Arabidopsis thaliana: one gene and its partner. The main gene of each other region encodes a partner of the protein of the gene in region 2 in a complex. Each region holds a gene or a part of one and is shown on either strand. Other genes may lie near its edges.

Region 1 (5,364 bases), on a different chromosome or scaffold from region 2:
ACCCTTTAAACCTTTCCACTAAAAAAACCTTAAAAAACGAAGCAGAGCATCGAACCTGAGTCTCTCAGTGGCGAAGAAAACAAAGAAGAAAATTTTCAGAGGATTTACGATCAATCAAATACAAATATGGATCAGTAACAGTTTTTTTGTTTGAAATTCAAAATAGAGAAACCAAAAAATCGATGGAGTTATGAAGTTTACCGTATAAACAGAGAGATTGATTCCTCAAAATCGGAAATCGAGGAGATATGGAGGGAAACTCAATCAAAAATCAAAACCGATATTATCAAAGCTGAGTTTTTTTACGGCGTTTAGTTAAACGGAGAGACTTTTTTTACAAGAAGGAAGAAAGCGTTACGGCGGCAGTGTAACGGAGAGAGAAAGGCGTAAGGACAGAGAAACAGGGTTTCTCCGTAAATTCGAGTAGCAATGAAGGGTAATATGGGAAATTGAGTCCGTTCACTTTTTAAATCTTTTTGAAGGAGCGGGCCTTTTTGATTGTTTTTTATTGTGGGCCTAAAATTGTCTTTTTTAGCTGTATATTTTGGTAAGCAAGCATTACTCAATTTTGTTTTTGCCTTTCTCTTAATTAAAACAAATAAGATAATCAGTCTCTGTGAGATTTTTAATTGCTAACTTGTTTGAGGTTTTAAATAGTACCATGCTTTGATAATTATCAGTAAAATATAATGTGGACTAATAAATCTTAGTGATTTGTAATAATAATGTGGTATTTTTTTTCTATTTATGCTAACTAATAAAATAACTAGAATTGATTAGGGGATTTATTGAAATTAATAGGCATGTAGATTTTTAGAACCAGATTAATTTTTTGGCAGTAAATAACAAGAAATCACAAGCCAATCTTATTGGAATTATTAGCACACAGTAAGTTACTTGAACTTACAACCACGTATTAAAAGTAACATAGTAAAGAGAACACACACACACACACACTCCAATCTTATTGGAAGTTTCATGTAGTATATATGACTAACTGGTTTTCACTCGGTGGTGGTGATGGGCACGATAGTGACTCCGATGCTGTGAACAACATCACTAGCTTGTCCATGGAATCCAACGATCTTGTGGCCTTCCTCTCCAAGCGAGAACTTCTTACCAGAATCCATTCCAAACGGCATTGACTCCCTTTTGTTGGTCTTAAACTGAAGACATACAATTATTGGTTCCTCAACTCCGAAGATCTTATCGTAGTAGCCATCTATGTTCATGAGATATTCACCATCTTCAAGCACAAACTGCAAAGATTCAAAACCAACAAAGGATAAGTGTAAATAATCTAGAATGAATTGAAAAAAAAAAAAAAAAATTGTTGTTTTTAAATGACCTCTTCAGCTCCGAGTAATGTCTTCTTCCCATGGTCATCTCCGGGTACAAGGTCTTTGCCCTTACTGTACTCAAATTTGACAAAGGATACACCATCGTTACCTTGTCCTACAAGTATCTTCCTTACACCGTCGTAGACACCATCATCCCATGTAACTCCTTCGTTGCCGCCTATCGCTGGTAGTTTCTTAGATGGAATCAAGGGAGTAGGAGTAGGAACAGGTCCAAAATATGCTCCAAGAGCATCAATAGCTGCATCTTCCTTTCCATGGAACCCGACAAGCCTATGACCCTTTTGCTCCAACACAAACTTCTTACCCACATTATACCCAAAGAATGATGTTCTCCCCTTTGATGTTAAGAACTTAAGTGACGTAATTGCCGTATTGCTAAAAATGTTTGGCTTCTGATAGGTTGCTTCCACCGATTTGATGTATTCATCTGGGTAACCAAGCACAAACTGCAACAAGAAGCAACAAAATAAGAAGACTTTTTGTCTTAAGAGATCTAAATACATGTGTCAATTATATCTACAAAAATTTGAACCGGAGTGTGTGAGAGTTATACTTCATACTACTGCAAAGAATCTACAAACACAATAATTAATCATTGATATTTGGAACCTAATTTATGTCGTTGTACTAATGATCACATATAAATAGAGTTTAACAATTTATAACATTTTTGAGAAATTATTGAACTAGTCGTGTATAAGAAGAACTAGTAAAGTTACCTCGGATGGTGTATCTCCTTTCCCCCCATGGTTACATGTTTTTGCTTCCCCGTCTTTCTCGTACTCAACCTCTAAATAAGTGATACGAGAATTATCTTGATCAATACGCAGCGTTTTAATGCCATCGTAAGAACCATCATCCCAAACACGCCCGTCTGTACCACCTTGGGCATCAAGCTTGTAAAGAGGGAACGGCGTGGTATCCAATACAAAGTAAACTCCAAGAGCGTCGACAGCATCACCTGCCCGTCCATGAAACCCTACGATCTTCTTTCCCTCATCCTCAAAAACAAACTTTGTACCGGTCGTAATTCCAAGTAAGTTTGGACCAAACAATGGAGACTTTCTACCCTTTGAGGTCTTGAAGACGAGGGACGTAATCACCTCTGTGGCAATGAGAGCCACTTGGTGGTAACTTCCCTCCACTGCTATGATGTGTTCGTCCGGGTATTGAATTACAAACTGTATGTAATAGTAACATATATTCAATAAAATTTATAGTATTTAATATTGATAGGTTTAGGATAATTCTCAAGATTTCCTAGTCCTAATATACAGTATCTGAGTTTTGGTTTTATAACGTTGTCTTAGTGTTTGTGTCTTATTCATTTACACAAGTAGTGTAATACAAAAAAATTAGAGAGTCACTAAAGGGTATCCGCCTCAGAAATACTTGCTTCTTCTTGTTTATGTCTTAAAGGATTTATCCAACGTTAATCCGAATTCACAAGAGTAATTTACTAGTATCGCAAAAAATTAAGGGTGAGAATAAATGCAATGAGAACCTCTTTAGGGTGCTGATTTGTTGTCCCATATTCAGTTGTTACTACTTCGCCGTCTTCCTGCACGTACTCAAACTTGATGTAAGTGATACGGTTGAGATCTTGCCCTACATACACTTTTCTTACACCCTCATATACATCGTCGTCCCATTCTTGTCCTCCCTCACCACCGCAGAGTGCCAACTTCCGGTACATCTTCGCCATTTCGAATCTAAAAAATATTGTAAAATGCAAAAATTACTTCTTATATAGATAATCCAAAAACGAAAGTATATATGTACAGCTTTATATATAGTTTTTAAAGCTGGTTTGTGGTTAGTAATACATAAATACCATGATAACACTGTATAGCCTATTCAAATACATAGCAAAAACACCAAAATGATCCAAGAAACACAAATAGAACAATCAACTGATCATGGGTAAATATTTACTGTTTGATGTTGATAGCTCTATTATTGGTGATGTGGTGTAATATAAATCAATCAATTAGGTTTAAAAGTGTTTGTTAAATCTAATATATTCAAGAATACATATCTACATATAAAGAGCTACTTCTTGTTTTAAAAACATTTTGTGAAGCAACATACATAGTAGTGGAAACTAGGAGTTACTTTAAAAAAAAAAAAAAAAAAAAAAATTGAAGGGAGAGAGATAACCAGTTAATTATTGAGCTCTGAATGATGGAAGGAGATGAAGCTTATGGGTATTGAATTGTGTGTATTTATTGACAATCTTTGGCATACAAGGTCTTCTTGATTGTCTTTAATTAATCATTTTAATAATCAACTCGTGTGACACGAGAGACTCCCTCACAAATGCAACAAATAATTAGAGTCCATTACGAGTGCAATATATAATAATAGCATACAACTTTCTAGATGCAGAGATATTTTAAAGTACGACAGATGAACAAAACAATTCATCAAAACAGCATAAACCAAATTCAATATATTGTTAACTAAAACAAATTTGATGATGTTAATGTTGCGATTCCCACCAAAATCTCCTATTTAGTATTAAGAATCTTTTTGACTGCACATTTTGAAAACAGATTTAGAATTATTATCTTCAAACTAAAACGGTGTATAAGCTTTATTTCCTAAGTTACTGTCAGAAATATCATTCATTAAAGTTTCAAATGAATTTAACAGTTATTTAAATTTTGTATAAACTGTGTTCATGCAAAAGTTTGGCTTATCATCATCATATATTCATGTCCTTGCTTTTTGGAGTCGTTGAGGATCGACGGTTGGATACCATGGAGACGATGGTCAAGTTATTTTGGGACGCTGATGTTATGTCATGATGACTCTTTCACATTATCATGTTGTGTTTTATGATTATCAGTATCTAAGGCTCAAAACTAGAATAAGCTCGAAAAGAACATAAAAGAGTCAAAACAACCACAATGATCCCAATAATAACATACAACTTGTCAAATGCAGATACACTTAATTTATCAAAACAAATCATTCAGAATAGTGAAAGTGGTGATTTCTGTTCTTCTTCTCCTTCTTCTCCTTCTTCTCTTTCTGCACCTTGGCTTTCTTCTTATCCTCCTTATCCTTCTTCTTATCCTCCTTGTCCTTTTTCTTCTCCTCCTTCTCCATGTCCTTCCTTTCCTTCTCCTCCTCCTCCTTTTTCTTCGCCTCATTCTCCTTCTTCCTCTGTAGCTTCATCCAGACTGCAGAACTCGATGATGAAGATGAACGTGAACCTGAAGCAGCCAACAAGACGAAGAATAAGAATGATACAATATTGCTCAAAGCCTCAAATCAAGAGTAAGGAGATGAGATGTATATACAATGGAGAAGGAAGAGAACGTTAACCTTTTTCTTTATTTTTTTTGTAGATGGAGTTGAAATGGATCCCAGCTAGATAGCTCATATGAATGACTTTGTCCGGTTCCTTTTGAGACTTGGGCAAAAACTCCATAAATGGAATAAGTTTGATTGATGTAATGAGTATTATTTTTACTTGATACACATCAGCAGCCACTCTCAAAGTCACTTCATCGCCCCATTGGGAATTAGTGGACAATGACATGTTCTTTATGGGAGAAGTCCATATGATCAACAAACCCTTTGTAAATCTTCGGATGAGTTTTAAGCTGAGAGTCATCAATCAATCAATCATCATATGACATTAATACACGTATGAAAAAAACAATCAAAAGTTTGAAGATTGATATTACCTGTTTTACGATTTCTTGTCTAACAAGTTCATGACAATCCGAATTTTGATAAAGTTGATCCGCCAAAGCACGGAACTGAAATAGAATTATTGACAAAAACATGAAAAAGGGTTATTCATAATACGATCAAAAATATATATCAAGTTGATTGTTTGATATAGAAACATTAATTACCTGGCAATTTCCATCACTTTTCATCATGATTTCGGTGTAATTTTCCCATTCCAATCTGAAAATCCAGGAAGAATAAGAAATAACATATATAGTCAGAGATTATCAGGCAAAAAAATAATTGGAACAAAGTT
Region 2 (4,858 bases):
CCAATCATTTCGAATATTACCTTGCAAGAATAATTGCAAACAAAAAAAGAGGGTAAAAAAGGTCTCAAATTGAATCCACTACCTTCTTAAATTGATTCCACCAAAATTTATCATTTTGTTCTAATGGAGTGCATGTGGCCCGAAACTTGTCTAATCTGAGCACAAAGCAGGTCATTGGACACGCTTTGGTTCATATTGTCAGGTTTATCACGTTACTCATTGAGATTTTTCTTATGGAAAAAACAGAGTTGAGGTTACATTATTATTTTAAATCTCAACAAATTAATAACAGCGCATTTCAAATTCCAAGAGCTCGTTCATGGTATAGAGATGGAAAATAGTGAGCTCAAGAACTAAACGAGTTAGATAGATTCACTAGCATCGACGTCGACGTCATGGACTAACGATGATATTCTCATCCATTGGATCCTCCCAAAACTCACGCATAGGCTCATTAACAGGATACACAATGAGCTCACGAACATTCATAGGTTGGATAACATTTGGGTCCGCTCCAAAAGATAAGATGATGAGAAAACGCTTCTTGTGCCTTCTTTTTTTAATTATGGAATTACCTTTTAATATGTGGTTGACAAAAAAAAGAAATAAATTTATGTAAAAGTTTTGTTTCTTTTAAATAAAAGATTTGCAAGGGGTAAGAGTTGCAGAGATCAATCTTTTATTATGGAGGAAAACTCACTAGAGAAACATGAAAACATTGGAAATTAAAACTACTCAAGATTCCGATATTGATCCAGTTATAATTTGACTCATAACCCTTATAGAAACCCCGATCGATCCCTAAATATTGATTTTAGAGACTCAGTAATACTCGTAACCGCGGCTCTCCCTGAGTTGAACGGTGGCTGACGTTGGGGGCACCCAAGACTCACGCATAGGTTCATCGGCAGGGTAAACGACAAGCTCACGGATGTTCATCGGTTGGATAACATTTGTATCGGCTCCAAAAAGAAGATGACCAAACATCTCTTGCGCCTTCTCAGTGTTGTGACGTCCGTCGAAGAATAGGTAAGACCGTTGGTACTCGCATAGCCTCGAATGTACGTTAGGAAAACCGCAACCATAAGCATCATGTGTCCCAACTCCGCAGCACGATGCGTTCGTAACGAAAAATCCTAAGAATGGCAAATATTAAACACATGGTATTAGAAGTTATAAAAAAATTTAAAAATGAAATTAAACCATGATAATTAACCAACTCACGGAAGTTTTGGTTCCTCTGCGTCCTAGTAAGAATCGCGTTGTAGAAATCAAAGACGGTGAATTGGAAAGGAGCTGATGCAGGAGCTGTTCTAGCCAATTCGTTCAACATCGGTCCAATTTTTTCGTTGTGTTGTTTAGCCAAATCGTTGAGTTTCTCATAGCATTGATCCATCCCGGTGTTGAACTCTTGTCTGACGATGGGTAAGCAACCCAATGGAGCTAGGGTTTGGATCACAAATTTACTCGCTCCTGATGAATACAACAAGCTGATATCGTTCTTTAACTTGTTGGTCACGGAAGTGACAAAAGCTTGTTGAGTAGATGCATCGGCGTTAGGGTTGTTCTTGGTGAAATTCAAGTAATCGTTTGCACCAATGTATATCATAAACACTGACTTCTTCACGAAATCATCATTCCAATTTGCTGCTTTCATTTGATTGAACTTTCTCACTTGTTGATTCAGAGTCAACTAAAAAAACAAAAAAAGACAAAAAGACAAAATTATAATTGCAGTTAAAGTCAGATGTCTTTAATAAAACAAAAATATGCCGTTTAGTATGATCCAGGCTAGTCCATAAGACAGGTCAAGCACATGCTTTAGACCAGAAGATATATACTAAATCATTCGCCAAAAAAAATAAAAACAGTAATTTGGTAAAACCTTTAATATATTTTATATCATTAAGAAGGCCATCTTCCAATTGTGCTAAGGCCACCTGAAGGTAAATTAAGGACCGGCTATGTATGACCGGGTCAATAAAAGACAGACATGGTTCATTTATTTTGAATAAGATGATTATAGTAAGAAATTAAGTTGACTTACAGATTCCACCGGAGCTCCGAGTAGAGTAGCATCAGCGACGGCGAAACTAGCTCCACGTGAGACATTGACGTTCGGTTGAAGGGCCGGCGGGATCACGATCGGAATCCTCATGAATTTAGCTGCATTTTGTACATTAAATATATTAGGTTTTCATATAATACAAATATAATCTCCGAATCTGTTAACGAAAAAAAATCAAAAAAAAATCCATGTGTTTCGAAAAGTGAATACCAGCTGAACCTTTTTTATTTTTAAAATATTTTAACCGTTATTTTTAGTAATTAACTAATATCCAACACTCGTCATTTGTACTAACGTTTTAAATGATAAAAAATATCATTTTGCATGTTTTATGTTTTGTAGAATTCGGATTAAGATCTTTCAGTTATACAAACAAAAAAATGTCGCACCGAGGAAGTCTGGAGCGATGAGGCCGTCGGAGAATTTGCCGTTGGGATCATCTCGGGATTTTCCATACGGCCAGAAAGTTTGAGGGAGTAAGGTTTTGGTGAGAGTCTGTTTGTTTCCGGCGTCGAAGTTGGAGTCACCAAAGGTGAACAAGCCCACCGCCGGAATATTCTGCCCGGCGACGGTGATGGGTTTGTTAAAGAGGGTCAATACCAAAAATACACATAGAACACTGACTAAATTACAGTTTTTTGCCATCATTTAGAGAGTATACAGAGAGAGAGAAAGTGAAACAGAACAGTAAATGAGTAGAAGATTGCTTTTGTGTCTTAGCTCGTAGACCGATACGTTATATTTATATTGTAAATACTACACAATTTGGCAACTGAATTTTTTTTATCAAAAAGATTGTTTTTAAGAAAAAAGCAATTTAGCAATTGAAAAATATTGTTATTTAAATATGAATATATGATAACGTGTTGCTCGAGGTTCATTTTTTTCTTTTTTCTACACACCTAGTTAATGCACAACTGGTATCCCATTTCTATTTTATTTATTCTTAATTTTCAAGATACATTTATTGTTACTAGTATCAAGAAGATCGATCATGCATTGAGGGCAGAAGAAGATTTAAATGCATATTCCTATATTTCAATAAAATATATAAAAAAACATGTCAAATGGAACCTCTCACCTATGAAAACGTAACTAAGAAAATACTCCATGCATTTCAGATCAAGTGTTCGTTTTTTTTAAATACTACAAACTAAAAAAAAATTGTTTTACTATGATTAATTCATTCTAGTTAACACATTAAAACAGTATAAATAAAATTTGGAACTTTAACCAAAATTTTATATTAAAACCTAAAACAACACTTATTATAAAATAATTTTGGAACAGTTAAAAATTGAAACCATTTCCACTATTTCATTACAACAAGAATTGCAAAAAAAAACAAAAAAAAAAGTAAATAAAATGACTCAAGTGAGTTATGTAATTTGAAATCCATAAGTCTTAAATGATTCCACCAAATTCAATCATTTCGTTCTAATGAGTGCGTATGGCCCGAAACTTGTCTAATATGAGCACAAAGCAGGTCATATATATGCTTTGGTTATATTCTCAGGTCTATCAAATTACCCATTAATTGATTATTTTTTTCTTATGAAAATAAGCAGAGTTGAGGATTTAAACAGTATTAATTATTTTACTTCGCAACTAATTAAGAACAATACATTACAAATTCCAAGAGCTCGTACGTGATCTAGAGATAGAAAATAGTGAGCTCAAGAACTAAACGAGGTAGACAGATCCACTAGTATTGGACTAACGATAACTTCTCATCCATTGGATCCTCCCAAAACTCACGCATAGGCTCATTAACAGGATACACCATGAGCTCACGAACATTCATAGGTTGGATAACATTTGGGTCAGCTCCAAAGATAAGATGAGCAAACGCTTCTTGTGCTTTCTCTGTGTTATGACGTGCGTCGAAGTAAAGGTAGGATCTTTGATATTCGCATAACTTCGAGTGCACGTTAGGTAAACCACAACCATATGCATAATGCGTCCCAACACCGCAACACGATATATTCGTCACGGAAAACCCTAATTAGTCATAACAACAAGTATTATTAAATGTTTGCTTCAAAGTAAAAGCATATAACGATATTAATGATAGTGTGGAACTTTGAATGGCGAATTGTAACTCACGGTAGTTCATGTTTCTTTGTGTCCTGCGAAGAATAACGTTGTAGAAATCGAAAACGGTGAATTGGAAATCCGGTTTAGTTTCCGCCATTTCGTTCAAAATCGGTCCAATTTTAGCGTTGTGTTGTTTGGCCAAATCATTGAGTTTCTCGTAACAATTGTTACCGGTTTTAAATTCTTGTCTTGCGATCGGTAAACAACCTAATGGCGCTAGCAAGTGTACGACGAATTTACTAGCTCCAGATGAATACAACAACTGCAATTAATCATTATAACAACATATCTATATCACTAACTCGTATTAATTTTTGATTAGTTTTGGATGAAAATACTTACGTTGATATCACTCTTAAACCGGTTAGTGACAGAAGTAACGAAAGCTTGTTGAGCAGAAACTTCAGCATTAGGATTGTTTTTGGTAAAGTTGTAGTAATCTTCCATACCAATGCTAATCATAAACACTGATTTCTGAATGTAATCCACTTTCCAATTTGATATCATCTGATTGAATTTCCTCACTTGTTGATTCAGAGCCAACTACCAAAAAAATGTGAATCTTTATTATGACATTGCTTTACGATTGATTAACAAATATTTTAAGTGAGCTTACAGAATCTTTTGGAGATCCAAGAATGGAAGCGGACCCGACGGCGAAGCTGGCTCCTCGTGACACATCGGTGCCGGGTT

What was found.
Region 1: AT1G54010 (region 2) and JAL22 share a complex: the UniProt entries of both Arabidopsis thaliana proteins name them as parts of the PYK10 complex.

What each region holds. Positions count from the first base shown.
Region 1 is NC_003071.7:16,413,258-16,418,621, forward strand, and holds JAL22 (jacalin-related lectin 22), read right to left. Parts: upstream 3,589-5,364; 5' UTR 3,522-3,588; intron 3,481-3,521; exon of another isoform or gene 3,074-3,480; 5' UTR 3,067-3,073; coding exon 2,866-3,066; intron 2,543-2,865; coding exon 2,081-2,542; intron 1,808-2,080; coding exon 1,349-1,807; intron 1,260-1,348; coding exon 1,005-1,259; 3' UTR 777-1,004; downstream 1-776. Other genes in the region: AT2G39320 (Cysteine proteinases superfamily protein), read right to left, coding at 4,335-4,582, 4,695-4,914, 5,060-5,134, 5,234-5,260. UniProt on the Arabidopsis thaliana protein: Inhibitor-type lectin that may regulate the correct polymerization and activation of BGLU23/PYK10 upon tissue damage.
Region 2 is NC_003070.9:20,158,032-20,162,889, forward strand, and holds AT1G54010 (GDSL-like Lipase/Acylhydrolase superfamily protein), read right to left. Parts: upstream 2,834-4,858; 5' UTR 2,717-2,833; coding exon 2,458-2,716; intron 2,167-2,457; coding exon 2,048-2,166; intron 1,694-2,047; coding exon 1,225-1,693; intron 1,137-1,224; coding exon 823-1,136; 3' UTR 558-822; downstream 1-557. Other genes in the region: AT1G54020 (GDSL-like Lipase/Acylhydrolase superfamily protein), read right to left, coding at 3,774-4,069, 4,175-4,427, 4,508-4,708, 4,782-4,858. UniProt on the Arabidopsis thaliana protein: Involved in the control of the PYK10 complex size and possibly substrate specificity. May be exported from the endoplasmic reticulum upon interaction with MVP1.